3 linked regions of the Arabidopsis thaliana genome follow. The protein of the gene in region 1 interacts with the protein of each later gene in a pairwise test. Each region holds a gene or a part of one and is shown in the gene's direction. Other genes may lie near its edges. The genes, in order: ARA4, ABCG10 and CRK10.

Region 1 (9,752 bases):
TTCATATCACAATGACTATATATTAACCACATATTGTAGTGATCATAATTTTCGTATCAACTGCTGCAAGCCAAAACTATAAATAAAGGCAACTGAAACAAAAATCAGTGACATATTTTTTTTGTATATAGTGTAAAGATGTTAGAATTCTTATTAATTACAAGAGTACCAATATCTCCTTGGTGGTGGCTATGCCCGAAAATGGCGTGAAAAAGAGATTAGAGGCTTCCTTTCTAGGGCTAAAGTTAATTATCTTTATAGACTTCTAGTGCAATGTTATAGAAGCTTTATTAATTATGACTAAGTAAAATACTTCCCAAATCTCATTTACAAGCGATTTTAATAATATTAGTGGTTGTAGCTTTCTTAGTCTTATGTATCTATAAGAACAAAATATTGCATATTTCTTACTTTATGTAAATACTTTAAGATATATCTTGGAATTTGACTGAAAAAAAGTAAATCAACGACATTTAATTTATGTGAGCTATTAACTTCACTTTTATTGTGGTTTTAATACAGTATATTCTAACTATTTCTCACATTTTTATCGTCTATTATTTTTTAAAATAGCAAGATTTTTAAGCATAGAACTTGAGAATACATAATAGGTTTTTTTTTGTTGTTAAGAAGTTTAATATTGGTGGTTGGTAAATTTGAAATTTTGTATGATTTTAACTGAGTCATAAACTGTTTTAAGAAAATCATGATCGGTCTGATTCATGTAGGGTTGTTAACCCCGTTGAAAGTTAGACAACCTTTAGTTGCCATGACCAGAGCATTTTTCTAATCAAAACTGCACTGAAATACTAAAACCGAAACCAAAATTAATGTAACGAGTCAATTTCCACTCATCGCATCATCACTAATTTTTGGTCTTGAAAACATATTAAAAATCCTTTATTAAATTTTTTTTCAAGCATATACCATACAAAAATTTATAGTCATTAAATACCTATATTTACACAACGCAAAAAAAATCAATAACTGTGTATACGTAAGAAAATCGCTGAGCACACATCCACATTTGGAATTTCGTACTTGGAACCACCTAGCTGTCATGAAGTGAAAGTGATTCGATCAAATAACCAATGATATCTCTTAATTAGTTAGTTGTTGCATATACACACTCTACATAAACAACTAAAAATCAAGAAAATAATAAAATATAGTTAGGTTAACCAATTTATTTTTTTGCTAAGAAAGGTTAAAACCAATTTATACAAGGAAGAGACAAAGTTTATCTAAAATTTTCAATCCGGTTAGTTTGGTTATTCTTTTATATACTAGAGAATGTTTATTCTTGTATACTTACATGTCTTTTGTAAGAATAATATACTTACATGTATACAAGCAAGACATGTAAGTATGTTATTCTTGACACACTTTCTTTTGCAGCTTTCGCCAAAAAGAGACAGAAAATCGTATTACATGACCAACCGAATTTTCTAAAATTGAGAAAGATAGAAATAAATAGATTGATCGGCAACTAACTCGCCTCTCTAGTCTCTAGATAAAAATTTGTTGGCCGGCAAAAAAAGATATAATTTGTTGTCTTCTCTGTTTCATTTAAATTGATAATAATAATAGCAAATTTCACAGGTAAAAAAACACATGGGTAAAAGATATTTGAACATGGACCTGAAAAATCAAAATAGATAGTCCATATTGATTCAAATGGGCCAACTCTGTACTCTTTTTTTTTTTATATATATATATAACCGTTATTCTATTGAAAAAGGATAAGAAAATATATGTTACAAGCTTTTAAGGCCTGATCGGCTAAATAGCCCAATACAGGCATAAAAGCCCAAATAAAAGTTTAGTCGATGGCCCAAGTAAAAGAAATCAAGTACCCAATTTTTGATTCTTTAGATTTGATGAAAACGATGGAAGGAGAAAGACGAGGAGTTGACGGAGAGATAGATGCGGTGAAGATTGAAATCAAATATTGCAGTGGAGTTACGATATCTATTTGTTTCCGCCCAAAAAGAAGAACTCCATCCTACAATCAAAAGAACTAGTTAAATATTTCTGTATGAAGTAGAAATTCTACAACCTAAAAGTAAGAATAATATACTTACATGTCTTGCTTGTAATGTCTTGTCGCAACAGACTTACGTGATCCGTTAGCAAAATTTAAAACGTTAAAGTAATATGTTCATACTCCTCAACATAACCCTAGAAATGATGAAACAATAGTATAGATATAGACATATAGTAATCAGCAACAAAGTCACATAAAGATCCTCATCATGGAACAAATGGGATCTTTGCCCATCTTAAACATAAATGTGGAATCTAAATCAACTGTTTAAAAACAAATACAAGGTCTATATCCTAATCAATGGACGTTCACCATGGTTTAATTTAATAAAAAGTGCATGTGTATTTTTATTATAAAATCAACTAAACGTATAAATGTAAAATGGATGTTTTGTCATGGTCTGCCTTTCTCTTGGATCATATGGGTGGTCGAAAACATGAACAATGAAATAGACTTTTAAAATCAGAATAAACTATAAGTATCCATAATAAAGTACAAAGTTAAATAACAATTTGATTCCCATATTAATACAAAATGGAATCTTAATGACCCACTTGACGATAACTAAACTAATATCCATGTTAATTTCATCACCCAAAAAATAATGAAGGCTTCGATTCTCTGTAAATGTATTCACTAACATTTGTACAGTCCATCATCATTTTGATATTTGCTTCTCTCTTATGAGAATATAAAATTGGCATTTTAGGCTGTAAAGTTTATCAATGAATATGCCCGGAATCATTATATCGATACCGTCATACATAATAATAACTCCATTTAAAATTGAATTTTTGATAGAATTAAGATTAACCTAATAAAACGAAATATCTTATAAGAAAAATGATGCTAAGTTATAAGAAAAATTCGCAAATAACGTCAAGCCACCATCTGTCAACCACGTGAGGTGCACGTGCGTTGACGGGACCGTGAGTAGGAGACTCTCTCTTGGTCAAGCACCCACAAGGCACAAGGACAAGCCATCGCTCTAATTTGTCACCCTTAGTTTAATTAATTTAATTTAACAGTCCTAACTATAATTAGTAACCCTCTTGCATTATCATATAGTATTAATTAATAACTACTCAAAGTCTCTTTCTCTCAAACCCTCTCCTCAAGATTTTTTCCTAAGCATCAGATTAGCTTTTGTAGGGTTTTTCTTTTCCGGTTTCATGTACCCTCCTAATTCCTCTAAGTCCACCGCTCATGACGGCGGCGGCGATGCCGACACCAATCAATATGACTCAGCCGCTGGAGCTACCCGTGATTTCTCCTCTCTTGGCCCTCAAACCCACCATCATCCGCCACCGCAGCGGCAGCAGCAGCATCAGCAGAATCCCAACCTCGTCGGCCATTATTTACCGGGCGAGCCATCTTCCATCGGATTCGATTCCAACGCTTCTTCTTCGTCTTCTTTGTTCCGACACAGAAGCTCTCCGGCTGGATTCTACGACCAACATCTTCCCACTGATCCCAACGGTAACTTTTTCGTTTCTTTATTTTTCCAACTTTTTTTTCACCCCACCAAAGAGTTCTCCTCCTAATTAATTGGATTTAATTAGTGCTGAATCTAGTCGACATAATTTACATATTATACAATTATACACATATCAAGAATTTTTTTTTTAAGTGTTCAACTTTTTTTGCACATTAAAAAATTTGTTACAACATTTAATAAATATATGTTTCCTATAAGTTAGACAAATTTGGTATAGAAAAAAAAACAAAATTAAAATTCCATATTAGTATTCGAAAACATTTTAAAAAATGAATATGTTATTTTACATCGATAAAGTCGGCAAGTAAATTGGTGTAGCACGTAAGTTTTGACTTACTGTAATCTAAACCATGTAGTCTTGGTTTTGTTTCGATGACTTAAGTAATTTGTCTATAGGTTGGAATTTGTTTGGTTTCCCTCCATACGACTTTTGTTTTGTTTTAATTAAAGACCAATAAGTATCAACCACGTAATTGAAAACCTAATACACATGTAGTTCTCAAAATATATCTATTTGCTTTAGTCAATACTTAATCTATCTCTAGATCTTATACACACCTTTCTCTTTCAGCTTATGTCTGAAGAGATTAACCATGGTTGATCTTAGTCATATGTATACATGTGTACACACGTATATATACATGCATGAATAATCAAATACGTATTTCCAATAGTGGCAAGTTGTTTATTTTAATAATGCAATATAAAACACACACTTGCCAAAAGTATATGTTAAAAAACGAATCGTTACAAAAAGAAATAAAAGTATAGTCCACTTGGAAATAATATATCCATCCCACTTGCTCTTTTTCTTCTGACAAAGCAGCCATGATGGCCTACCCCTGCTGACATGGCTTGATCATGGTCACTATTTTGATTTTTGGATACGCCTACTTGTCATTATATATAATAAGCTTTATTACTATAGTGTTAGTTGCAAGTAATAATTTATATTATTTTTGTGCAATTTGATCTTCGGTTCATTGCATATGTCCGGTTCACATTCCCTGTAATCCATGTGCGAGCCCCAAGAAATTTTACCCCCTCTTGCATTATTATATACATACTACTTTGTATAGTATATGATAGTAATTGGAATTCGAATGGTGAATATTTCTAAGATTCTTTTTCAGGAATCCTTATTCTCTACCAAATTGGCGATAATTAAAATATATATAAGTAGAGAGACTAGAGACAAAGGAAGGGGTCCTCGAGTTTCGAAGACGACCCATTCTCTTCTTATTTTGTACTAAAGATTTTTAAAATCAAACTGGTTATTAAAATACTGAGATAACAAGTTATAAACCTACATTACATTCTTTCTTTCTCTTTCAATCTAAATTTGTTGATGGAAGAAGGAACAGGTTTTTCTCTAGGACGGCCAAACGGAGGCTACGGCGGAGGAGGAGAGCAAGGGCCGTCGAGGTTGAAGTCGGAGCTGAGATTCTCTAGTGGGAGTAGTAGCCATCAAGAACATAATTCTCTACCGCGAATCTCGGAGGTTGAAGCGGCTGCAGCGGCTAGAAACGGTGTCGCATCAAGTAGTATGAGTTTTGGAAATAATCGTACTAACAATTGGGACAACTCGTCTTCTCATATCAGTTTCACCATTGATCAACCCGGAAAACGGTCCAAGAACTCCGACTTTTTCACCTTAGAAACTCAGGTATTTTCTATAACTTTAATTTGAGGTTATTTATGTATGTGTATCAATACTTTTAGATTATTTTTTTATACAACAAAGTTAATAAATCTCGGATTCTTCTAGGTAAAGGGAGAAAAGAGTGAATATCCCCAATGTTAGTTGTTTTGTGTATTATTAGTTTCTATAGGCTTGGAGAAGGTTTATGATTGATCTATAATAGGTTGACAACTTGATACTAAGAAAGTATATTATCATATCGTATGAAATTTTATATCAGTTTAATTAACTTCCATAAAGTTAGCAATAGAATTCCATGTTGAAATATTGCCAACAGCAATGTCTATGTCACAGGTTCATGTGTATAAACTGCTTGGAGAAGGTTTATAACTTTTCACAAGTCCTTGGCAATTAAATGATTTGTGTGTTTAATTATATGTATGGTCCACAAGTTGTATGCTAACAAGTGTTATTATATAGTGCGCGTCATATACAATATGAATTCTACAAGCCCAATTTAAATTCCATATCCACAACAGAATTCCAAGTTGAAATAAATGCCAATAAAGTGCAAATAGCCAAATTTCTGTGTGTAGAAGCCAGAGTTGAGTGGTTGTGTAATAGATATAAATAGCTTAGAGAAGGGTTATGATTAATTTATGTATATTTTTCACAAGCCCTTTGCTACCAAATGATTTTTGTGTAAACATTCTCACTGATGTTGGTTTGGTTATGATATTCATTGAGTGGTTATACATTGATTTTCATCTCAATATATATGGTTTTGACTTTTAGTATAGCATGCCGCAAACAACTCTGGAAATGGCGACAATGGAGAACTTGATGAACATCCCAGAGGACTCGGTGCCTTGTAGGGCTAGAGCCAAGCGCGGCTTCGCGACTCACCCACGCAGCATTGCTGAAAGGGTTAGTTTATTCTATTATTATGGTGATTACTATTGCATAAGTCTAGATACAAACTTAAAAGGTGAATTCATTTGAAACCAAAGAAAACAAGAGTAAAAATTAGGTTTTATATATGATTTGGTTTGCGTGTTTGTGGTATATAGGAGAGAAGAACGAGGATAAGCGGGAAGCTGAAGAAGCTACAAGAACTTGTGCCTAATATGGACAAGGTAAGTGATATTATTTCTGTTTTTAATGTAATGTTGGTGTGGTTTTACATATCTATAATAAGTTTGAAAAATTTGGCAGCAAACGAGCTACGCAGATATGTTGGATTTGGCTGTTGAGCATATCAAAGGTCTTCAGCACCAAGTAGAGGTGCGTCCTTAGATACAAAATGAATCTATATATGCAAAAGTGACATTTTCTCAAATTGAAGCAAAGGGTGATCATATTCCTTCTATGTTGGGAAAATGTTACCTTAAAGCCAAATTTTAGTATTTTAGAAAATAGTTATATTAATATAATGGTTAGTTATTGTCCAATATGATCATAACCATGGATCAACCATTTACTCGGACGTGTTTTTTTTCTTCCAGAAAATTTCATGACATATCAAAATGTCATGCACGTGAAATTAAAATATTACATTCTCATGATCTCTTAACAAAAGGGTTTTTGCGTTGGTCTCATGAAAATGTTTTCGTTATGTTCATTTATATCATTTTCACCCAGTTGAAATAAAACTGATCATACATGCATCTTAAATTTTGTTAAAAACTTTCGTAATAGAATACGTTAAGTCGTTAACAGTAGACTCTTCTAAGAATCTAAGTTAAGAATCATGCATAATAGATGGTTATACATTATATACTATATATTTATCATACACTTGGTCTACGTCATGTTTGATCGGTTAGATTCTGATGTCCCGTTTATTCACATGTCTAGGTCTCAATGTCTTATTCAAGCTAAGTATGCATATGGAGAAATTAATATGATTTTTTAAAATTATCTCTTATATATGTGCAGTCACTGGAAAAGGGAATGGAGAGATGTACTTGTGGGGCATGCAAGAAGCGATGATGAATGATATTGTTCCAAGTATGATGCAATAAAGTATAGAAGAAAAGGAGATCACTTACGAACCAAATTCTAAGACAGAAAGAAACATAGCAAAAAGGAGTTATTTTGGAGGTCTAAAGAAAGTGATGATGGATTAATGAAGGCTGGTTTTGTTACTCTCTGAAAGTCTTGACCTTTATTATAACTTAAAATTCGATCAATCGATTTTTTTTTTCCTGTTTTCCTCAAAGTTGGTTAATTTTAGCTTAGAGCAAAACCCATTATTTGAGATTGAAAGAGATGCGCGTTTGTGTGTGTGAATATAATCCTACGTTTTGAATTTTGATCTGTGAATAAAAATCTCAGAAAAACATCAGGAGGATCATAGTTGTTTTCAACAAATGTATATAAAATAAAACCTTAATTGAACCAAATTCATTATTTCAAGGAAATAAATGTACTCAGACCAATTTATTTTTTCTTTTGAAAACTCATATGGAAAATCCACTTGGTTACCAATTATTTTAGAAGTTGTAAATTACACACACACACAAAAAAAATGTGTACTCTTTGAAGAAGTTTATTTCATCAATTTAGAAAAGATTCTTATAAAAAAATACATAATTAATAAATTAAAATAGAAATAAATCATAATATGAATTTTGGTTAATTATGATGGAATTAATTTCATGCGCAAAATAATACTCATTAATTGCGCTCACAAACAACCTAATAAAATCCAAACAAAGCTCTCTTTCTCCAACAAAGGCGTTACAGAGAAGAAGAAGAAGGAGAAATGTCAGACGACGACGAGAGAGGCGAAGAGTACCTCTTCAAGATTGTTATCATCGGTGATTCCGCCGTCGGCAAATCCAATCTCCTCACTCGCTACGCCCGTAACGAGTTCAATCCCAATTCCAAAGCCACTATCGGCGTCGAGTTTCAGACTCAGAGCATGCTCATCGACGGCAAAGAGGTCAAAGCTCAGATTTGGGATACCGCCGGTCAGGAACGCTTCCGCGCCGTTACATCTGCTTATTACCGTGGCGCCGTTGGAGCCCTCGTCGTCTACGATATCACTCGTAGCTCCACTTTCGAAAACGTCGGTCGCTGGCTCGATGAGCTCAACAGTATGTGTTTCGATCTCCGATTTTTGAGTGAATTTATTCAATTTGAAGTGAGATCTGTAAATCTGAGTTTTGATTTTGAATAGAGTAGAGATTGGATTTGGATTAGGATTGAATCATAGCGATAGTGATGCTGCTGGTTAGAATTTTTAGATCTGAAGATTTATGATGACTTCTTAAGACTTTGATTCAAAGTCAAGTCAAATTTATCTACTTCTTTAGGTTTATGATTATCATGAAACTGAATGATGAAGATATGCAATGATTAGTTGATTCATGTTTGCATCTTTACTCTATTGAGCTTGAAATTGTGATAGGTTGAGTTTAGAGTTAGTTTGACAGTAATGATGAATCTTTGGTGCAGCTCATTCTGATACAACAGTAGCAAAAATGCTTATTGGGAACAAATGTGATCTCGAGAGCATAAGAGCGGTGAGTGTTGAGGAAGGCAAGAGTCTTGCTGAGTCTGAAGGTTTGTTTTTCATGGAGACCTCTGCGTTGGACTCGACCAATGTAAAGACGGCTTTCGAGATGGTTATTCGGGAGATCTATAGCAACATTAGTCGAAAGCAATTGAACTCTGATTCTTACAAAGAGGAGCTGACTGTGAATCGTGTTAGCTTGGTTAAGAACGAGAACGAAGGGACAAAGACATTCTCTTGCTGTTCGAGGTAACATCTTTGTAACGGTTTCTCTTTGTCCTGAGGATTGGTTTCGGGTTGAATTGTGTTCCTGGTAAACTTATAGAAAGGCAGAGATATATTCTTATAGTTCTCAGTTAAAGTAAAAGAAGAAGAGAGAAAGATGTTTTGAGTTTCTTTGTTACGCATACAGAAAAAGTTTGGTTAGTGTATAAGTTATGTTCTCATTTGTAACTTTTGTAAACTTATGATTGTTAAATCAATTTTGATATTTTCCAACTGCTCTTTAATTCGATGGCCCGCAAATTTATCTAAACAAAACGATAAGAATATTTATTTCAATTTTCAGTTTTGGTTATTAATTTCGAATAGATGTGGCAGTTGAAGCAATGTTGTCAGTATATTCATTGCGGCCACTATAGTTAAATCATAATGTCGAACCAAAATAACAGAAATTGTAATTGATGTTATTTAATTGTATAACCTATAGATAAAAGAGTTCACATAGTTATTTGAGATAAATTCCAATCTGCCTCGAATACGTTTTAATCTTAGTTATAAAATGGTCTGTAAATGATAACATAATTATACTTATTAATAGTAACAAATACGTTTAAAATGCATAAACCTCACTACGCTATCAAATTTAATATAAGATGTTTAAAGTAACAATCATGTTAATGTCACTTCATTATGTTAATACGCGTTTGGTATTTATTATTTAACAATTGTTTTGTCTGTCTTATTCACATAATCACATTGAGATATTCTAAGAATCGTATAAAGTGTCTTATGCTTTCTTCATATGTTAATATTATAGTATGAA
Region 2 (10,137 bases), on another chromosome or scaffold:
TTTGGAAGTGAAAGCTATGAACAAAGATACTGAAGCTGATAGTGATAGTGATAGGAAGATTAAAGAAGAGGAAAGGAGAAGGAAGATTGGATTAGCTAATAAAGGAAAGGTGCCATGGAACAAAGGAAGGAAACACAGTGAAGGTAGAAGGATCTTTTCTTCGATTTTCTACATTGTTTCTTCTTTGAGGCTTTGTGTAGTGAGATTGTTGATACTCTTTAACAGACACTCGAAGACGAATCAAGCAGAGAACAATCGAAGCTTTGACAAATCCCAAGGTGAAGTCAAGTAAGATTCAATGCAAATTCAGGGACATTTTGTTGTTGTCCCATCTTCTATTGTTTACAGTGAGAAGTGAAGGAAGAAAACTTATTTGGCAAAGAACTTTTTCTTCTCTTCAATATCTTGCAGGTTCGGAAGAAGATGTCCGATCATCAACAACCACACAGGTAGATTTGTAAAGTATTGAGTGTAGAATAGAGAACAATGAAGCTAGAGCCATATCTAAGCTAAGTTTGTCTCTTGCAGTAATGAAACCAAGGAGAAGATAAGAGCTTCAGTGAAACAAGTTTGGGCAGAACGGTCAAGATCGAAGCGATTAAAGGAGAAGTTCATGTCATCGTGGTCAGAAAACATTGCAGAAGCTGCAAGGAAAGGAGGAAGTGGCGAGGCAGAACTTGACTGGGACAGCTATGAAAAAATAAAACAAGATTTTTCATCTGAGCAGCTTCAGTTAGCTGAAGAGAAAGCAAGAGCTAAGGAACAAACCAAGATGATAGCAAAAGAAGCTGCAAAAGCCAGGACCGAGAAGATGAGGAGAGCTGCAGAAAAAAAGAAAGAACGTGAGGAGAAAGACCGACGAGAAGGAAAGATTCGAAAGCCAAAGCAGGAAAGGGAGAATCCAACCATTGCTTCACGTTCTAAACTAAAGAAGAGACTAACAAAGGTATAAAAAAACTACTCCGTTGATGACTCTGAAGAATATTAGAAACCCACTTGATGATTCTTTGGTTTGATTAAATGTCTTGTCAGATTCACAAGAAGAAAACAAGTCTTGGTAAGATCGCAATTGGAACGGATAGGGTTGTTTCAGTTGCAGCTAAACTGGAGAAACTGGATTTGGATTTGATAAGGAAAGAGCGAACAAGAGGAGATATCTCACTTGCTGATCAGATCCAAGCTGCTAAGAACCAACGAGGAAGTGATGTTTTATCGAGATTTGGTCTTTTTGCCATGAAATCGATGGATTTTGATTAACTCTTTTCTACTCCTAGTTTATAGCTTTCTCTTTTTTTCTTGTGCCACTAAATAAATAAACAAGGTTGACTTGAGGATATAATAAATAAATAGATTGACGAGTGCTGGCTACAATAACTCATGCAGAACTTATTAGACTAAAACTCTCAGTCTCTCTCTCACAAAGCAGAGTGACAAACTGAAGAACACTGACCACAAAATGGTATCCGCTCCTATACATGAAAACACAAGACGGTTTAACTCTGGTTCCTATTGGGTGGGTAAGGCTGTTGCTGCATTCCACCACCCTGACCTTGTTGTTGGTATCCACCGTTCTGCTGGTAGTTTCCAGACCATCCTCCATTCATGTTCGGTGGTGGTGGTCCCTCGTAATTCTGACTCATGTTTGGTGGCGGCAGTGAAGGTCCCCTGTAGTTCTGGCCCATGTTCGACGGTGGAGGTCCCTGATAGCTCTGGTTCATGTTTGGCGGTGGAGGTCCCTGATAGCTCTGGTTCATGTTTGGCGGTGGTGGTCCCTGGTAGTTCTGACCCATGTTTGATGGTGGAGGTCCCTGATAGTTCTGGTTCATGTTTGGTGCTGGTGGTCCCTGATAGTTCTGGTTCATGTTTGGTGGTGGAGGAGGACCTCTGTAGTTCTGGTTCATGTTAGGTGGTTGTATATGAGGAGGCATGTTTGGGTTGTTGCCTATGTGAGGCGGTGGAGGTGGAGCACCTCCCATACCTTGGTTTGGTGGTGGACGTCTGTAACCCGTGTCTTGGTTTCCCCTATCGTTCCTGCCTCCATCCGAGTTGCGAGGCCTGCGAGGGCGTCTGTTTTCATTAGTTGCATTAGCATTGTTTCTTATCCATTCTTCATGATACTTTGGGTCATAAGGAACAGCCTTTCCATCAATGAAAGGTTCTCCTGAAACAATCAAATTTCAGAAAACCCATCAAAAACTAATTACTACTCTCTGACAAGATCAAATCTTAGTGTCCCTTACAACAATGTATATTGTGACTAGAAAGCACAATCATCAGAGTTAAACAACATACCTCCATAGTCTTTATTCTTCCCATCCAAGTAGGAATCAGGAAGAACCCACTTAACCTTAGGCAACTCTGGATTGTTCACATACAAAAGTATAAGAAATCAATGCTTATAATAAACTCAAGCTAAGCAAAAGAATTAACAAGCTTTAACCTTTGATCTTATGTGAAAGATCTTCTGAAACAAGAGCTCCAAAAGCAAAGTAGCATTTGTGCGACACAGAGTAAATCTTCATCCTTGCCTCCTCTTCACTAAAACGCAAAAATAAGATACACACTTAACAAAGTAAGACTCTAGAAACAGATCAAAGAACACTGTGGAAATGGATCTATATATATACCTGCCAACAACTTGAGCTAGGGTTTTGATGTAGTAATCAATAATCTCGTCTCTAGAGAGATTTCCATGACAACAAACCAATGCTCGAAATCACAACCATCAAGCAAAATCGTATCCTTTGGTGGCCGATTCGACCAGTTAGGGCTCGGATCATTCAGCGAAGCGGAAGTAACCTGCGTAGACATACACCTAGCTAGAGATACACCGGCACGGACCAACGCTGAGAATCCAGAAACGAGAGAACGTGAACGATTCAACAACGAAGACGCAGATCGAGAAACAGTAGGGGAATTGGCGAGAGGAGATGACGAAGAGAAGGAACGAGTGAACAGTGAGGAAAAGGATTTAGCTGGCCGGTGAAGGATGGAACGAGAAATCGCCATTGGAAGATGATAAAAATGGAGAGGTTTTAGTGAAAATGGAAAAACCCCAAGCATAAATGGGTTTAGATGGATCTTTCAAATTTCAAGGATATTATGTAAAACTAAAAATTGTAGTACATATCATTACTATTTTACATTATTTTCAAAATCGTCCCATTGTTATTTCAATTGACATGAGAAACCCATTTGTCACGAAATCATCATAAACAACCATATGTTGAATTCTTCTCTTTCGTCGAGGTTAGTAGAGAACATATCTGGTTGCTCAGTGGGAGTGACATTAAAAACGTCGTCTATGTATTGTAGATTAGGTATTTCAATGATACCTAGTTGAGGATCTCTCAAATAGCTTATAATCTTTGGTAGGACAAGATCCTCCATATTCGTATGCAAATGGACATTGGCAAAGTTATGTGGTAGCTCATATTCCCGTTCTGCTAAGGCCATCTTTTTGTGCTCTTCAGAGCAATACCGAGATTCAGGTGCGTAGACACATGTACAAGACCAGTACGCGAAGGCCTTATCTTTATGCACATAATGCATAACACGAAGATTGGCAACACCCATTGCAGAAACCTGCTAATACACATTGTTAGGTCTAGAGAAAAAAACTCTCTCTCGCAACTTTGAAGATTTTGTTTGCTCTTTGGATTGTCGAGATTGTTTCATTTCGTGTTTTTATATTATTTTTTACTTTTAGTTTTGGATTTGAATCTTAGGTTTAAAAAAGAAAAAGAAAAATTGTGATCAAAACGACATGGTTTGATTGAAGATGATGCTAATTCATTAAACATGGGTCATTTGAGTCGACGTATGTTAGTATTAACTAACATTTGTTATTGCAGATCCTAAAATACGTGCGACCTATAAAGTTTGGATATAATTTTTTTTTTTTTATGAATTTGGGTAAAGAATTAACATTGTACAGTATGTTTTATATAAGAAAACAATACTTTGCAAATTGTACTGGTATAAAAATATCGTTTTTCCAGTCACCCGCTTACGTTTGGTCCAAGTTGTTTTTAATTTTATACCGAATTAAAGTTTATTAGTCACAACTTTAAGTGTTTTTTCCAAACCCAAATCAAAATTCGATTTTTTTCGTCACAACTTTGAATCAGCCCCTTCACCTTTGCAGCCACATCTAACCGAATGCCCACCTAGACAACATCTTATAATGCGTCTTTTTATTATTATTATCCAAAAATAATTAAATTAGTGAGGTTTCTTACGTGATTATTCCTTGTTAATTAAACATCTGAATTTCCGTAAGCGAGTTCGAAACACGTAATTAAATATTGTAGGTAATATATAACAACCAAACTGGGTTTCCTCTCTTTCTTTGTTAGAAAAAACTAATAAATTAGATAAAACAAGTTCACCAACAAGGCAAACATTTCACGGTCAATTTTTCAGCTCACCCGAATTTGAGAATCTCTAGACGAAACCAAATCTCTTTCTAACTAATTCTTTTTTTGCTTTTCTTGTACCTCTTCACAATTTCAAAACCCAATTAAAAAAAAAAAAAAAAAAGAACCAACTACATATCTTAATTTCTTAGATATTTTTTTTGGTCAACCAATTTCATTAGAAATTAAAAAATACAAGAAAAACAACAAATGTTTAATTTCATATAAATTTATCTAACTGTATCAATATTATTTACGAACAAATTCTTTATTAAGAAAAACAAATTAAGCATTTTAAGCTTGGAATCATAAATATCTTTGGTTTAATTTAGTCATAGTCAAGTGCTTTTCGGTTTTCATGGAAGGCAATAAGAGAAAGCTAATAAAGTCTTGAAGCTTTTGAATGTTTGAATAATAAAGGAGAGGTTCCTTAAAGTTTGGTGTGTTAGTTCATCTTCTCTACCATTTATTCTTCACTTAATCTCACACTCTTTGCTCAATTTGTTGATTTCTCTATCTCTCAAAGTTTGATGCTTTCTTTTTCCTTCTTTCTTTCTTAGATGGAATTGCCGGTAAAAGCTCCTATTCCCGGTGGCCGGGAAATCTCATATAGATTAGAAACCAAGAATCTGTCGTATAGAATAGGCGGAAACACTCCAAAGTTTTCTAATTTATGTGGTTTGTTGAGTGAGAAGGAGGAAAAGGTTATCTTAAAGGATGTTTCTTGTGATGCAAGATCCGCGGAGATCACTGCGATCGCGGGTCCAAGCGGAGCAGGGAAAACCACGTTGCTGGAGATTCTAGCCGGAAAAGTTTCTCATGGGAAAGTTTCAGGGCAAGTGCTTGTCAACGGTAGGCCTATGGATGGTCCTGAGTACAGGAGGGTTTCAGGGTTTGTGCCACAAGAAGATGCTCTGTTTCCGTTTCTTACGGTGCAAGAAACACTGACGTACAGCGCACTCTTGAGGCTGAAGACAAAGAGGAAAGACGCGGCTGCAAAGGTGAAGAGGCTGATTCAAGAGCTTGGTCTAGAACATGTTGCGGATTCAAGGATCGGTCAAGGATCAAGATCTGGAATCTCTGGAGGAGAGAGAAGAAGGGTTTCTATTGGAGTTGAACTTGTTCATGATCCAAATGTTATATTGATCGATGAGCCAACCTCTGGTTTGGATTCTGCGTCCGCTCTTCAAGTTGTGACGCTTCTCAAAGATATGACGATTAAACAAGGTAAAACCATTGTTCTGACGATTCACCAGCCTGGTTTTCGCATACTCGAGCAGATAGACCGGATAGTGTTGCTCTCTAACGGGATGGTTGTTCAAAACGGATCAGTTTATAGCCTTCATCAGAAGATTAAGTTCTCCGGTCACCAGATTCCTAGGCGGGTAAATGTCTTGGAGTATGCAATTGATATTGCAGGGAGTCTTGAACCGATCAGAACCCAGAGTTGCAGAGAAATCTCATGTTATGGTCATAGCAAAACATGGAAGAGTTGCTATATTAGTGCAGGAGGAGAGCTTCATCAATCTGATTCTCACAGCAACTCAGTGTTAGAGGAAGTGCAGATACTCGGGCAAAGATCTTGCAAGAACATCTTCAGAACCAAGCAATTGTTCACAACCAGAGCCTTACAAGCTTCCATTGCCGGTCTTATACTGGGGTCGATTTACTTGAACGTAGGAAATCAAAAGAAAGAAGCGAAAGTCTTGCGAACCGGGTTCTTCGCCTTTATCCTCACTTTCCTGCTATCTTCCACAACAGAGGGACTTCCAATTTTCTTGCAAGACAGGAGAATCCTAATGAGAGAGACATCGAGAAGGGCTTACAGAGTTTTGTCTTACGTTTTAGCAGATACTCTCATATTCATTCCCTTCTTGTTGATCATAAGCATGCTCTTTGCTACGCCGGTTTATTGGCTGGTCGGTCTCAGAAGAGAGCTAGACGGCTTCCTCTACTTCTCATTGGTGATATGGATTGTTCTTCTGATGTCAAACTCTTTTGTCGCATGTTTCAGTGCTCTTGTCCCAAACTTCATAATGGGGACATCAGTAATCTCAGGTCTCATGGGATCTTTCTTCCTCTTCTCCGGGTATTTCATTGCAAAGGACAGGATCCCCGTTTACTGGGAGTTCATGCATTATCTCAGCCTCTTCAAGTATCCATTCGAATGCCTGATGATCAACGAGTATCGAGGAGACGTGTTCTTAAAACAACAAGACCTCAAAGAGTCTCAGAAATGGAGCAATCTTGGTATCATGGCAAGTTTCATCGTCGGGTACAGAGTCCTTGGATTCTTCATCTTATGGTACAGATGTTACAGAACAAGAAGCTAGGTTAATAACAATGATCTGCAGATATAATTCAATTTGTTTTGTAATTTTATAAGAAATTTTACTTTCTCATATTCTTTCTTTTTGTTCAGCACTTTCTTATATTCTAAAATTCGCAATGTAAAGTAACAAAAAAACTTTCTGATAAAAACAGAGTAAACTCGTTTATTTATAAGACAGTTTTAAGCATCACACTTAGTACAAAGCTCACCACAACAACGGTACACTCATTGATCGTTTGATACTAAAGCCTTTTTCTTATTAAAGTCACTCTTACCTAAGATACTCATGAGTTTACACAAGTGTTGCCTTTGAGAGCTGAAGTCCTTTCTCGCGCCCGTAAAACTTCTCTACAATTGCAAGTGCAAACTCCAATGAGGTTCCTGGACCCCTGCTCGTTATGAGATTGCCGTCCACCAAGACTCGATGCTCGATGTGACTCTGGTCCGTCAGTTTGCTGCACATTGCTGGAAACGCTGTTGCCTTCTTACCCTGTAAAAAAATCCATTAAAAATTGTGACCCTTCCCTTAGTTTTAAGTGCAAAAATAACGGTTTGATAACAGAATACTCCATGCCATCGGATATATAGTAATGATCCTACACATCTAAGCAAATGTGTGTGCTATTGTGATTACTCTCGTACCTTGAGTAAACCATGTGGCTCAAACACCAGAGCAGGAGAGGCACAAATTGCTCCATATGGTTTGTTTGATTCCGCCTGCTTCTTTAACATATTCACTAGCTTCTCCGAACTTGCAAATGCTTCAGCACCGCCGAGACCACCCTGATAATAAAAAGAGAAGTTCATCATGTTGGCCTCAACTTGCTTGACACTATAAACTTTAGTAATTTGAAGAAGTTAGCACTCACAGGCAACACAATCAGATCGTACGAATTCTTTTCAGCCTCGTCGAGAAGCACATCTGCCACCAGCTTGACTTTCCGAGATGCTACCACTTCCAAACTGTTACCAAGCGCAGCTACGACAACATTTGCTTTTGCCCGCTTCAGGACATCAATGATAGCAACAGCTTCCATTTCCTCCGAGCCATCTGCAATGGGTACAAGAATCTGAAAAGGAAAAACATGATCTCTCAGTGTACGGAAGATTGATTAAGAAAGACGCATGAGCTCAGTAAAGCAAGTGTGAAAAGTTTTGCCAGTCTTTTTTTTCTTTTCATTTTGCCAGACAGGCAATTGAAAGCTACCTGTGGGGTACCCTCGAATGACCAGCTGACTTGGTTAAGCTCAGTAATAGTATACTCATCACCAGGGTTGGGACGCATCACCTGATATGCAAAGGGGAAGAATAGAGACTAAGAGGTTACCATGGAATAAAGCCTATGCTACCAAGGAATGGTTGTTTCTTTGTGGAAACCTAAATTTTTCAGTGTCCTATATAGCTTTCAACTGTCTGTAATCTCACAAGAACAGTCACTGATCAGTGGACAGGGGAAATAATGCTGAAAAATTCAGCCACAGGCCTAGGCTTCAAGGAAATCACAGTATTAGTGAGGTCGAAAACACGTATTTGTATTTTTTTACATGAACTAACAATACTAGGGTGCTTTAAAGAGTGTTAAATCAAATAAGTGCTCCCCTCGAATCAGCTACTAAATATATCCTTCTTTGCGGAGAGCCATCTTCTCAACAGAAACTGGCCTCTAAGATCTGTCGATTATTTGGAGACCAAATTAAGGTTGATAGAAGAGTCAGGGATAAGACATACCAAGGGGCCAGAGACTTCAACAGCTTTCTCTTTCCCAAGAAGTTGCTCCACAAGCGTGACAGAGAATTCCATGGTAGTTCCAGGCCCTCTACTGGTCACTATCTTCCCATCAATTTCCACTCTTGACTCAACAGCTGTCGCACAAGCCGCTAGTTTCTCCATAAAAACCGGGTAACATGTAGCCTGCAAGCAACGTATGTGATTTATACACCAAAATACAAACTCAAAAGAAAAGAAAACTTCTTGGATACTGATCACTCACTACACACATACTTTTTTACCCTCTAGTAGTCCCCAAGTACCAAACGCCAACGCCGGCGCACAACAGATAGCAGCGTTAAGTCGTCCATCAGTGTCTTGCTTCTTCACCATCTTCTCTAAAGGTTTACAATTCTTAAGAGTCTCACCACCAGGAAGTCCTCCCTTAACCAATCACATCACCAAAACAAATATGAAATCAATACATCTAATTGAGAAACTATTTCGATACCAAATGGATTCAGATTGGCAGAGAGAGACGTACAGGGAGCATAATAAGGTCGAAAACCGAGTCGGTGATATCAGAGAGAAGAGTATCAGCGACCATTTTGATTCCATGGCAAGCATCAACGCCGACCTGATTCTCAACGGAAGCCACCGTAACATCCGCTCCGCCTCGCCGTAGCACATCGATCATAACCACCGCTTCAAACGGCTCCGTACCATGAGCAACAGGAATCAAAACCTAAAGAAAACTCAGATTTATCAAGAGAAATTTACAGGATCGATAGGGATAAGAACGAAATCGATGAGAACGATGTACCTTCTTAGTAGATGAAGACATAGTTGCAGAGATAGAGAAGGATCGTCGATTTACACGAAGAGAGATTCGTCTCGGAGAATAGTGATGGAGTTTTTTAGTGTTAAAAAAGGGAGTGACAGTGATTTTGTTAAAATAGCGATGACACAACGACGACGACGCCATTGACGTTTTTTTTTTTCCTTAAAGAACTTTTGATGAAAGAGAAGCAGTGATGAAACGGGCTTTATCCTGACGTGTTTTAATGTGATTGGATGGAAAATGACAATCAGCCATTAATCTTTTAACACGTCATCAATCAACTCAAGACGGCGTGTAGTTTGGTTTATCAGAAAACAACTTCCCGGTTCAGAGTTTTGTTCATAAACTTGTTGTGGTTTTGATGTATTGATGAGAGATAATATTGTAGGAGAAAGAAAAGAAAATACATGCCTAGTCCAGGCTATAATGATTAGTGGGTCTAGTCCAACTTTTACAAGCCATAAAACAGCCCAATAACACAGATCTATGATGTGAACTTATGAAGTTGTGAACCCAATTAAGGAAGGTTTCCGAGTGGAGTAGATGAGATTTGCATGTTGAAAATTATGCAAAGTGCAGATTTGCATTGATGAGATGTTGCTTTGTATTGATGAACATTTTGAGTCCGATAATTTATAATACTACAAAAGTAAACCAAAAATGTTGGTTTTCACTCTTCTATCTTCTTTTAATCTTTGCTTCTTTTATAATTGGTATAAAAAAAAGTTTTATAATTTAAAAAATATTTTTATTGATATGAAAACTTCATCAATCTTACAAATATCTCGACTATTTTGTCAACTTATCTACCCATTTATGTTTCTCATTTCTATAGTCTC
Region 3 (11,559 bases), on another chromosome or scaffold:
AGCGTCCGACAATATCAACCGTTTTCATGATGCTCACTAGTAATACTGTGACCTTACCAGTGCCTCGGCAACCAGGGTTTTTCATTCAAAGTAGTCCCGTAAAGGACCCGACTGATTCAGATCAGTCTACCACGACCAAGTCTACTCCAGCATCTATTGACGATGAATTGATCACTGATTTATATCCGCGCTAAATATGATGTTTACCTTCACGGTTGTAATGAAGTTTAAGCATATATTTTCATATTTCTAGGTGTGATCAACCCAATAAATTGTTTAGTTTTGATTTGGTTTGTTAAAACCATATGTGTACTTTGTTTTGATTTTTTATTAAAGAATAATTAGATATGGAGAGAAATGAGAAATGGAGAGAACACTTAGAATGTTGGCAATTGGCATTAAAGTTTGGTCCATTCTAAAAATTTGGCCAATCCAAAATCTGTAACTTTGGATTTCATTTCAGCGTCTATGAGGATATTACCTGCTTTGAAGTCACAATGTCTGATTGAGAGTCGTGAATGATGAAGATATATAATCGCTTTAGCAATACCTCCAATGATCTTGTACCTTCTGATTTGGGAACAGAGGGAAAACAGAGTAATGTGGGAAGGTGATTTACATGATTTGTAAAAGTAGTAAAATAAATGAAATGTGAAACCATCTAGCACGTCAAAGTTTTTTCTTTTCTTACTTTGTTATAAACTAACTAACTAATACAATTTTTTGAAAGTCAAAGTCACCTATATGATGAACATCAACTTTTATTGTTATTCAAATGTTAGACTAAAACACGTGGAAGTGACAACCAGAGAAAATAGATTTATAAATTTTCTATGTTTTGACGTCTATCAATCTATTTCCGAGAAAAATATGGGTTGGAATTGAATATTATTGAAGTGAGGTTGATGATTATTCCGCTTGGCGCCGAGACTTTGGGTCAAAAAGACAGCACAGTTAAAGTTCCTTACCAGACAAGTAACAAACGAACAGTTATAAGTTAAAACAATAATTTCACAACCCTAGTTTATTCAGTTTGTAGCCCTAATTAATTTTCTTACTCAAAAAGTTTAGTTTCACTAAATTATTGTCGAGATATCAGTTGCTTGTAATCTTATTCATAAAACAAAATAGGTTATTTCAACAAGGCCTTTTCCAATAATTTGACTTTTGTTGTTAATAAAAAGGAATGACATAAAAAAAAATCGTTTACATTGACTTTGATTGATGACTTATGGTCGTCACAAACTATTCACGTTAATAAATGGAAGCTGCATGATGTGAAACTCAAATCAACGAAGTCGAAAAAAACACCATGTCTTCTCTGATCTCTTTTATCTTCCTTTTCCTTTTCTCATTCCTCACTAGCTTCAAAGCTTCCGCTCAAGATCCTTTTTACTTAAATCATTATTGTCCAAATACGACAACTTACTCAAGATTCAGCACTTACTCCACCAATCTCAGAACCCTTTTGTCCTCTTTTGCTTCCCGCAACGCCTCTTACTCCACCGGATTCCAGAACGTCACGGTGGGACAAACCCCCGACCTGGTCACCGGACTTTTCCTCTGCCGCGGAGACCTCTCGCCGGAAGTTTGCAGTAACTGCGTTGCCTTCTCCGTTGACGAAGCGTTAACTAGGTGTCCAAGTCAGAGAGAAGCTGTGTTCTATTACGAGGAGTGTATACTCAGATACTCTGACAAGAATATTCTATCGACGGCCATTACAAACGAAGGAGAATTTATCTTGAGTAACACCAACACTATTTCTCCTAATCAAAGTCAAATAAACCAGTTTATAGTTTTGGTGCAATCTAATATGAACCAAGCTGCCATGGAAGCAGCCAACAGTTCTAGAAAATTCTCTACGATAAAGACCGAATTGACCGAACTCCAGACTTTGTACGGGCTTGTTCAATGCACTCCTGATCTTACAAGTCAAGACTGTTTGAGATGTCTGACAAGATCCATCAATAGAATGCCACTTTCTAGAATTGGAGCAAGACAGTTTTGGCCAAGTTGTAATTCAAGGTACGAGCTTTACTCGTTCTACAACGAAACTACCATTGGAACACCATCTCCACCACCACCACCGTCGCCAAGCAGAGCAAATTGATGTGCTGCTTTTTACGTCGAAGTTTTGGCCAAGTTGTAATTCGTTTTGCTCTGCTTTACAAATTGACGTGTTGCTTTTTCTCTGCGTTTAAAATTGGTATCATCGAAATAAAGTAACTCAGTTTCTTACAATCAAAGAGATAAGGATTGTGAAGCAGCTAATGAGTCTTCTTATTTTGTCTTTACTTCAGTCTTCTCGTCTTTGATAGTGAATTGCTCATCTAGCTTTCTTAATCTTAGACTTGGTCAATGTTTTGGCTTTTCTCATACTAAACCAATTAATACATAAAATATTTAATTTATTTTCTATTACAATTATCTAGATATTTTTAGCTACACGTGATTGAAACGTGTCTCAAGCTACACCAACGCTCTTCCTCACAAACTGAATTCGTCGTCGATAGTGGTTGCTCTTGCTATCTTGATGTTTACTTCGTCTGATCGTTGAACTGGCCCGCTGCAACATTCTGAGTGTTCCAAGTGATTATTCTAGTTGTGCGTAACACCGTAACAGTAAAAATGAGCTAAGGAAAGCGAGATGCAAGGGAGAACCAACAGAAGCATAAGTTTTTCCTCTGTTATTACTAATGGAAAAAAACTTTCTTTTTCATTTTCTAATTCCTTGTCAGATTTCTCAGCTTCTCTTCTTTTTGTTTTGTGTAAGACTTGGTCGGAGTCTTAGATTACGCTGATGATTAAAAACTACTAAAAAAGAAAAAAAAAAGAATATTACGCAAATGTTCTCGATGCATTGACCAAGTCCTCTTCTGGTTCTGGCTCCATTTTCACATGCAGGCCCATAACCAATTTTAACGAGATTTGTTGCATGAAAAGCCGATTGTTTTTCCTTGGCAGTAACGAAAAAAAATTAGTTACTTTTTAAAAACTAGGGTTTTGAATAATATCATTAAAATCAAATAGAACGAACTAGGGTTTTGGCATCATACACCGCCTCATTCAATTATTAACAAAGCTGAGTCTTCTTCACGGAGAAATCACGGCTGAGCTAGGTCTCATATACCTTGCATCAATATCTTGGGCCTTTACTAGGATCGGAGATACATCAAACATAAAATACTTCTCGGTTTTATTTTCTCTTTCCTTATGTATATGTGAATGCCTTTAAAAATTTTGATTGCCTTTTTTCTCGTTTTGGAATAGTCATGAGAAGCTGAGAACCAAAAAGGAAATATTTCTCACCTTTGCAACTAGCTAGATGGAGCTTATGGATGCAAAATTCGTTTTAAAACACATTGTATTCGGATGATGTCAAAATATTTCACATTCATATAGCAAATTCATGTTTATATATTCCGATATTAACTTTAAATATTAAAACTTATATGCTGTAGATTCATATCCGGGTGAAAACACGAAAGGACTTATGATGGAACCATTATATGGAACGACGTCATGTGGAATATCAAGTTATTTAACTTCTCGCGAGTAAGACTATAAAAAGTAATAGAATAATTAGTAACTAACAATATCAGATAACGATAGGCAGATGATTTGGTAATACTATTTTAGTATCACTACATCACAATAACCATACTAGCATATACGATATACAAATTAATAAATTATCGTGCTTAAAACAAAAACCTATTATCAACCAATAATTTCTTCGCATCAGTGGCGACAATTTTTTCAGCCCCAGAATGATTCTTTGAAGAATAGTCAACAAAGATTCCTAATTTCAACAATTCTGTTCAAGGAAAAGTACGAAACAAATTCTACTGCTAGCTAGTTTCTCTCATGTATATCTAAATTCTATTACTAGTAATTAAGATCTTTGAAATCATGCCAACTGCTACATTTATTTTCTCTTGAAAATCCCAACTACCTTTTTTTTGATCAAAAAAAAAAAAGACTTTAGAGTTCAAAGCTTGAATTTAGAGTTATTATGTTTTAAATTTTGACAGTTTTGATAATTTTCTTCATTTTAAAATGATTTTATATTTTCCGTAATTTTTTTCTATATTTCATATATTAAAAAAATAAGTAATGGATTAGTAGCTAAACACAAGAAGTTGGACAAGACCCGACAATTTAATACGAGACGCGTTGACCTTGACCTTGACTTTTCGTCAGCACAAAACGTTATCTACGGTAGTCACTGAGAGAGAACAAACAATCAAATTTGTTTCATATATCACTCAAAGCTTGATGAGAAGAAACACAGATCAAGAAAGCCCAATTATGTCTTATTACTCCTCTTTCTTCTTCCTTTTCCTCTTCTCCTTTCTCACGAGTTTCAGAGTTTCTGCTCAAGATCCCACTTACGTATACCACACCTGTCAAAATACGGCAAATTACACAAGTAACAGCACTTACAACAACAATCTCAAGACCCTTTTGGCTTCTCTTTCTTCCCGCAACGCTTCCTACTCCACCGGATTCCAAAACGCCACCGTCGGCCAAGCTCCAGACAGAGTCACCGGACTTTTCAACTGCCGTGGAGATGTCTCAACGGAAGTTTGCCGTAGATGCGTCTCCTTTGCCGTCAACGACACCTTAACTCGGTGTCCTAACCAGAAAGAAGCCACACTTTATTACGATGAGTGTGTACTTAGATACTCTAACCAGAATATTCTCTCGACACTAATAACCACCGGTGGAGTTATCTTGGTTAACACCCGGAATGTGACATCTAACCAACTAGACCTGTTAAGTGATTTGGTTTTGCCTACTCTGAACCAAGCCGCCACCGTAGCCTTGAACAGTTCCAAAAAATTCGGTACGAGAAAAAACAATTTTACTGCGTTGCAGAGTTTCTATGGACTGGTTCAGTGCACACCTGATCTCACGAGACAAGACTGTTCGCGTTGTCTCCAACTGGTCATCAATCAAATACCTACTGACAGAATTGGTGCAAGAATTATTAATCCGAGCTGTACTTCAAGATACGAGATCTACGCGTTTTACACCGAATCCGCCGTTCCACCACCACCACCACCACCGTCAATTTCTACTCCTCCAGTTTCAGCTCCTCCGCGATCTGGTCAGAGCTCTGTTTTTTTCCTCTGTTTTTTTTTTTTGCCCTGATTTCTTGAAATTGGCAAAACCAATATAGAGAGTTTTCTTCTATCTGATTTTTAAGCAAATAATCTTTGAAATGCAGGAAAAGATGGGAATTCAAAGGTGTTAGTGATAGCCATTGTTGTGCCTATTATAGTGGCTGTTCTGCTTTTTATAGCTGGTTATTGTTTCCTTACAAGAAGGGCAAGGAAGAGTTATTACACACCATCTGCATTTGCTGGTAAAGATTTCAAGTGATAAACGATCTTTAATGTCAATGCTCAGCTTGTTTTTCCTGCTTCAAAGACTTTCATTGTGTAACAGGAGATGATATCACAACAGCAGACTCACTACAGCTTGATTATAGAACAATTCAAACTGCAACAGATGATTTTGTAGAGAGTAATAAGATTGGTCAAGGTGGATTTGGTGAGGTTTACAAGGTAAATTATAGTTCCCTTGAGCTGTGTTTTTTTTTTCTTGAAATTTTAAGCCAACACTTTTGGATAATGGGATGATGCTGATGAAAACAACAGGGTACTTTATCGGATGGGACTGAAGTTGCGGTGAAGCGACTATCAAAGTCATCAGGACAAGGTGAAGTAGAGTTCAAGAACGAGGTTGTTCTTGTTGCAAAGCTACAACATAGAAATCTGGTTAGACTTCTTGGGTTTTGTCTAGACGGAGAAGAAAGAGTACTGGTCTACGAGTATGTGCCCAACAAAAGTCTTGATTACTTCCTCTTTGGTTAGTTGCATTTAATGCTTTGTTTCAATGATTCTTGATACTTGGGGTTACGAATGTTTAGAGATCTCATTGTGATTTATGGATGTGGACAGACCCTGCAAAGAAAGGCCAGCTGGATTGGACTCGACGATACAAGATTATCGGTGGAGTTGCTCGAGGGATTCTGTATCTTCATCAAGACTCACGACTCACAATCATACACCGTGACCTCAAAGCCAGTAACATTCTCTTGGACGCGGATATGAATCCTAAAATTGCAGATTTTGGAATGGCTAGGATCTTTGGATTGGACCAAACCGAAGAGAACACAAGCAGAATAGTTGGTACCTAGTAAGTCTTCCTCATAACTTCTCATAAGTTGAAGTTTTCTGAACATTCTTTTGTTAACATAGTTTTTGTTGTGGGTTTATAAGTTGAAGTTTTCTGAACATCCTTTGGTTAACATAGTTTTTGTTGTGGGTTACAGTGGTTACATGTCTCCCGAGTATGCAATGCATGGTCAGTACTCAATGAAATCTGATGTCTATAGCTTCGGAGTGTTAGTTCTTGAGATTATAAGTGGCAAGAAGAATAGCAGCTTCTACCAAACAGATGGTGCACATGACTTGGTCTCATATGTAAGTTTTAAACCTATCAAGTTCCATATTTACCTGAACATAGTTGCAAGTGTTGATTGATTGAATAATATTCTAGGCTTGGGGGCTTTGGAGTAACGGGCGACCATTAGAACTCGTGGATCCAGCTATTGTAGAAAATTGCCAAAGGAATGAAGTTGTTCGATGTGTCCATATCGGTCTTTTATGTGTTCAAGAAGATCCTGCTGAGCGTCCGACGTTGTCAACCATTGTTCTGATGCTCACTAGTAACACTGTGACTTTACCCGTGCCACGGCAACCCGGTCTTTTCTTTCAGAGTAGAATTGGAAAAGACCCGCTTGATACAGATACAACGAGCAAATCTCTTCTAGGGTCTGTTGACGATGCATCCATCACAGATATACATCCTCGATGATGATGAGTTTTTCCCTTCATACCTGATTCCTGAATCTATTGGTGTTGAAAATAAGTTAAAAACTTCTTTTGTTATAGAATGTTTGTATTGTAATTGTAACCACAAGCAAGTATAAGATATATACCATTTACACGTTTCTCCATGAAGACGTAACAGTGACTTTTCCCTCCAAATTAAGCTTACACAACGATCTAGCAGGTAATTTGATTCAGCATGAAGAGAGTAAAACCAGTAATCGAGAAACGATTCTTAAAGAACTGTGAACTGTTCATAAGCATTTTACAGTGGACACTGTACAACATACAATTACAGATAAACCTGCTATGTTTCTTATGTCCGTGGACAAATAATATAAATGTCATCTGACCATTTTTCTGTTACAACTTTTAAGCTATGATGAGGAACCACATCAATTTTTACGAACTAAATGAGGAAGACTTGCTTGTATACTGATCAGACTCTGATCCTTCAGATACCAGTTTCAGTTGCCTGCTTCGTGGGAAAAATCCCGGTAGGCGAGGCACTGGTAGAGTAATTGTGTTACTAGTCAGCATTAAGATGATTGTTGATAACATTGGACGGTCTTCTGGATTTTCTTGAACACATAACAGCGCGATATGGATGCACCTAGTGACTTCATTACTCTGATAATTCCTTCCAAAAGTTGGATCCACCAGCTCTAATGGTGACTTGTTTCTCCAAAGCCTCGAAGCCTAATACAATGAACAATTAAGTACCTTGGTCATATGTTTTAAAATGTTAAATTGTTGAAAGTTGAGGACTTTATGCTCACATAAGTGACCAAGTTTCCTGCAGTACTAGTTTCATCCATCTGGTAGACGCCGCTGTTTTTCTTGCCGCTTATAATCTCAAGAACTAAGACTCCAAAGCTATAAATGTCAGATTTCATGGAGTATTGACCATGCATCGCATACTCGGGAGACATGTAAGCGCTGAAAAACATACAACACGGGTTAATATGCAATAGAAAATGGTTTAGTGTTCAGCTACTACGAGCAGAACTTACTAGGTTCCAGCAATTCTGTTCGTGTTTCCTTGAGTTTGCTCCACTCCAAAAATAGTTGCCAATCCAAAATCTGCAATTTTTGGGTTCATGTCTGCATCTAAGAGAATGTTGCTGGCTTTGAGGTCACGATGTATGATTTTGAGCCGTGAATCTTGATGAAGATATAGAATCCCTCGAGCAATTCCTCCAATGATCTTGTATCGCCGGGTCCAGTCTAGCTGACTTTGCTTTTCCGGGTCTGCACATATCGACAATCAATCAGTATAAAGCTGAAGCAGGATCCTTTGAATAAGAAAAATTATTGACAGGAACCATACCGAAAAGAAAGTAGTCAAGGCTTTTGTTGTGGACAAATTCATAGATCAGAATCTGTTCCTCTCTTTCCAAACAGAATCCAAGAAGTCTAACCAGATTCCTATGTTGAAGTTTTGTCACAAGAACAGCCTCGTTCCTGAACTCCCTTGTGCCTTGTCCTGACTTTTTCGACAGTCGCTTCACAGCTACATCAGTTCCGTTAGAAAGCTTACCCTACGTACAATGAATGAAACAAACATTGTTGGTTATTTCCATAAACCAATATGAACTTAGAAAAAATGGAAAACAGAGACCTTGTTACCTTGTAAACCGCACCGAATCCACCTTCACCAAGCTTATTACTTGTTGAAAACTTGTTAGTTGCGGCTTCAATTGTCTTAAAATCGTATACCAATGAATCTGTAGTTGAAATATCACTTTCAGCTGCAAAGAATGGGTGTATTAGTTTCGTGTTTCCCGTCTTGGCTACGGGAGTATACATGCTGATAACGAAAGGAAACAATAAAGAGGTAAAACACAAAGAAACTAACATTCAGTCTTAGTTCTTTGGTAGGATTTTCTTCTCCGGAAAAGAACAAATCCTAAAACCAGCAGTATCAAGATGGCAATAACAGTGGGAACGGTGATCGCCACAACAACTCCAGCTGAGATTCCTTTGCTATCTTCTCACAACACATAGAAAAACAATGTCATATATTTAAGTTTTTTTGTTACAATGATAGTTTTCTCAGGTGGAAGACTAACCATTGTTGGTCGGGTTGTCCTGATCACCTGCAGGTTGTGGCACAGTCACAGGAGGTTCTGGAGGAGGAGAAGCCACCGTAAGATTATCAAAAGCGTTAGAATATGTATACAAATCCCACCGCAAAAAGCAGCTTGGCCGCATAACAACACCTCCTCGCTTCTGGCTACAGCACGACTGATAGTCAATTGCGCTTTGTCGCAGACAGTTTTCACAATCACCGGAGGAAAGATCCGGCGTGCATTGCATCAATGCATATATATTCAGGAGAGGTGTCAAGACTGCTGAATCAGCTGAGTAATGGTTATCACTTGAAGAAGGTGTGCTTTTTGCTGTGGAAGCTGCAGAAATCATACGACCCATTAATCCTTCCCATATTTTCGTAAACTCTGTTAGATTTGAGTCTAGGTCTCCAGTGTTGGTGAGCCAATTTCGCGGGTTCAGATCAGCAGATCCTGAGAAAGAAGTGTTGGAGTAGCGCACATAGCAAAGCGTTGGCTCACCTGGCCATGAATACGCCTCTGTTTGGTTAGGACAATTCTTTAAAAAAAATTCAGACTCTTTCTTGATACAATCAGAACAGTCTTCTGAAGTTGATCCTGGGATGCACATCCCTATTGCGTAGACACGGTTCGGTTGTTGTCCTATGGAACCGTTGTAGTATAAGCCGTCTTGGTCCGTGACATTTGAAGGAAGAGAAGAGAGGATGAGACGGCGATTTACGTCGTAAGTACCGTTGGGTCTGAAAGTCCCCTTGTCCGTCGTGCATGTTTGTGCTGAAACTGAAGCAACACCAAAACTTATGAAGAAAAAACAGAGGACTGAAAACAAACTCCTCTGCTTCATTGTTTCTTGAAGATTAAAGCAAAAGCTAGATCTTTGTGTTTAGTGTTTGACGCATCTGTACGTTTCTTACCAGTTTAAACAAGCAAAATCGAAGCTTCTCTCCAAAATTTTCAAATATTGAATTCGTCAAATTGATGACAGTGGTCCTGAAACCTACAAATATGGTCACGAAAACGAGTGTCAAAAGTCAAAGTCAATGTCAAAAGCTAAAAGTCAATAATATTTTCTTTGTTCACATTATATAATAAGGGGGTTGTTGAATATTGATTGGAATGTTGACTCAGATAATGACATAAAGGATAAAGTATTCATAGAATCAAACCCAGTGACGCAGAGGCAGATGGAGAGGAACAAGAAAAGTATTGGGCTAAAGTGTCAGTGTCATTAATTTCACAAATAAACCGGCTTTTGTCATAGGCTGCTCAGCACATTCCCAGACTATACATATACATTTGGCAATCAAAGCATTGTAAAAGCCTAAAAGAAAAAAACAGAAGATTAGCATACCTTTTTTCGTTGTGTTCTGTTCGTCTCAATTTATAGCCTAATCAGTGTCTCTTGGGTTGAGTCATGTAAGAATGCGTACATATGAATCACGCCGAAACCAGAAGAACATGTCGTAATTGGCTGAAACAGAGTAGCAACGAACCACTAGTGTGAGTAACAACAGCAACAATTGAGTCCAAATAGAATGCAAAATATTTCATAACAAAGGGCTGATATTACAGTGTAGACATTGATAGAGTTTGTTTATAACTTCGAGCCAGTCTACAAACAGATAAAACACCTAAACATGGCTTCTGACTGTTTCAATTATCTTCAACGAGGTTCCAGATCTGTAATGGTTACATCATTGATAGTTTGGGAAGTGGGCCTGTTTGCAGACTGGCTCGACCTCCAAAGCTGGCTGTACATAATTTAATCATCAAATCATGAACACACATATTTACCAAAGCTTATAAATAAGGACACAACAGATTAGTGATAGAGGTCTATCAAATTGATGCAGTATTATCCCATGTTTGCTCTCTTACCCCAAATAAGCATCGGAGACGGATTACATTTCCCACCGGAAAACGCAGTTGGCCCGGAGCCCTTAGCTAAATCGTGATTATGCCATTAAACACATCAAAATCTAACAAAAGAGCACAAACAAATCCGATAATCAATATCATTAAACGCCATTAGAACCAGAATGCTAAACCCTAAATCCGAGCTCAGAAGAATGCGCAAAGGCTGATTCCGACGAAGAGAGTGAAGAAGAAAAGTCGGTAATAGCGTTTGGTTTCCGGTTCATATGGTATAGGTTTAGTAAATAAACCGGTTTGGGTAAATATTCGTAGAAATTCGTCTACCGGTAAAGCCAAACCGAATCCGTCTAATTTACAGAGCTTTTTTACATGCATAACAACATTTGCGTTACTACTATACATGAATTGGTATGTTTATAAAATTTTGAAGCCATTCGTATCAGAAATCTTCAATACAACAAACCAATGTTACAATGTAGAAATGATAAAGAGTTTGTATGAAAAATAACTTTGAGTGACTCACAAATCTTACATAACTATGGATCATCACATTTCATTTTCAAGTGAAATAATACCTCACATGTGGAATCTGCGTTGTTTTCAGTAACAATTCCAATTTGTCAATTGGAACAGCAACTTCAACGAGGATCTAGATTTGTAATGGTTACATCATTTTTAGTCTGAGAAGTACATCCCATTGTAAATTGGCT

The links.
Region 2: the proteins of ARA4 (region 1) and ABCG10 interact in a protein complementation assay, tested with the Arabidopsis thaliana proteins (one large-scale study listed by BioGRID).
Region 3: the proteins of ARA4 (region 1) and CRK10 interact in a protein complementation assay, tested with the Arabidopsis thaliana proteins (one large-scale study listed by BioGRID).

What each region holds. Positions count from the first base shown.
Region 1 is NC_003071.7:17,929,107-17,938,858, reverse strand, and holds ARA4 (P-loop containing nucleoside triphosphate hydrolases superfamily protein), read left to right. Parts: upstream 1-7,831; 5' UTR 7,832-7,954; coding exon 7,955-8,288; intron 8,289-8,649; coding exon 8,650-8,960; 3' UTR 8,961-9,252; downstream 9,253-9,752. Other genes in the region: AT2G43140 (basic helix-loop-helix (bHLH) DNA-binding superfamily protein), read left to right, coding at 3,220-3,526, 4,910-5,211, 5,983-6,114, 6,258-6,323, 6,403-6,471, 7,126-7,179. UniProt on the Arabidopsis thaliana protein: Intracellular vesicle trafficking and protein transport. Binds GTP and GDP and possesses intrinsic GTPase activity.
Region 2 is NC_003070.9:19,857,900-19,868,036, forward strand, and holds ABCG10 (ABC-2 type transporter family protein), read left to right. Parts: upstream 1-4,921; 5' UTR 4,922-4,978; coding exon 4,979-6,751; downstream 6,752-10,137. Other genes in the region: AT1G53250 (histone-lysine N-methyltransferase, H3 lysine-79 specific-like protein), read left to right, coding at 1-143, 226-278, 412-449, 529-946, 1,033-1,257; AT1G53260 (uncharacterized protein), read right to left, coding at 1,494-2,161, 2,293-2,358, 2,441-2,522; AT1G53265 (uncharacterized protein), read right to left, coding at 3,199-3,576; DJ1B (Class I glutamine amidotransferase-like superfamily protein), read right to left, coding at 7,043-7,240, 7,393-7,533, 7,620-7,820, 7,958-8,038, 8,479-8,661, 8,752-8,901, 9,002-9,202, 9,281-9,442; AT1G53282 (Plant thionin family protein), read right to left, coding at 10,105-10,137.
Region 3 is NC_003075.7:12,133,893-12,145,451, forward strand, and holds CRK10 (cysteine-rich RLK (RECEPTOR-like protein kinase) 10), read left to right. Parts: upstream 1-4,102; 5' UTR 4,103-4,278; coding exon 4,279-5,113; intron 5,114-5,233; coding exon 5,234-5,371; intron 5,372-5,454; coding exon 5,455-5,573; intron 5,574-5,666; coding exon 5,667-5,877; intron 5,878-5,969; coding exon 5,970-6,207; coding exon of another isoform or gene 6,208-6,208; exon of another isoform or gene 6,209-6,339; intron 6,340-6,343; coding exon 6,344-6,494; coding exon of another isoform or gene 6,495-6,554; exon of another isoform or gene 6,555-6,570; coding exon 6,571-6,888; 3' UTR 6,889-7,030; downstream 7,031-11,559. Other genes in the region: EP1 (receptor-like protein kinase-related family protein), read left to right, coding at 1,313-2,110; CRK11 (cysteine-rich RLK (RECEPTOR-like protein kinase) 11), read right to left, coding at 7,305-7,601, 7,682-7,841, 7,916-8,153, 8,233-8,443, 8,532-8,653, 8,761-8,892, 8,975-9,818; CRK12 (cysteine-rich RLK (RECEPTOR-like protein kinase) 12), read right to left, coding at 11,488-11,559.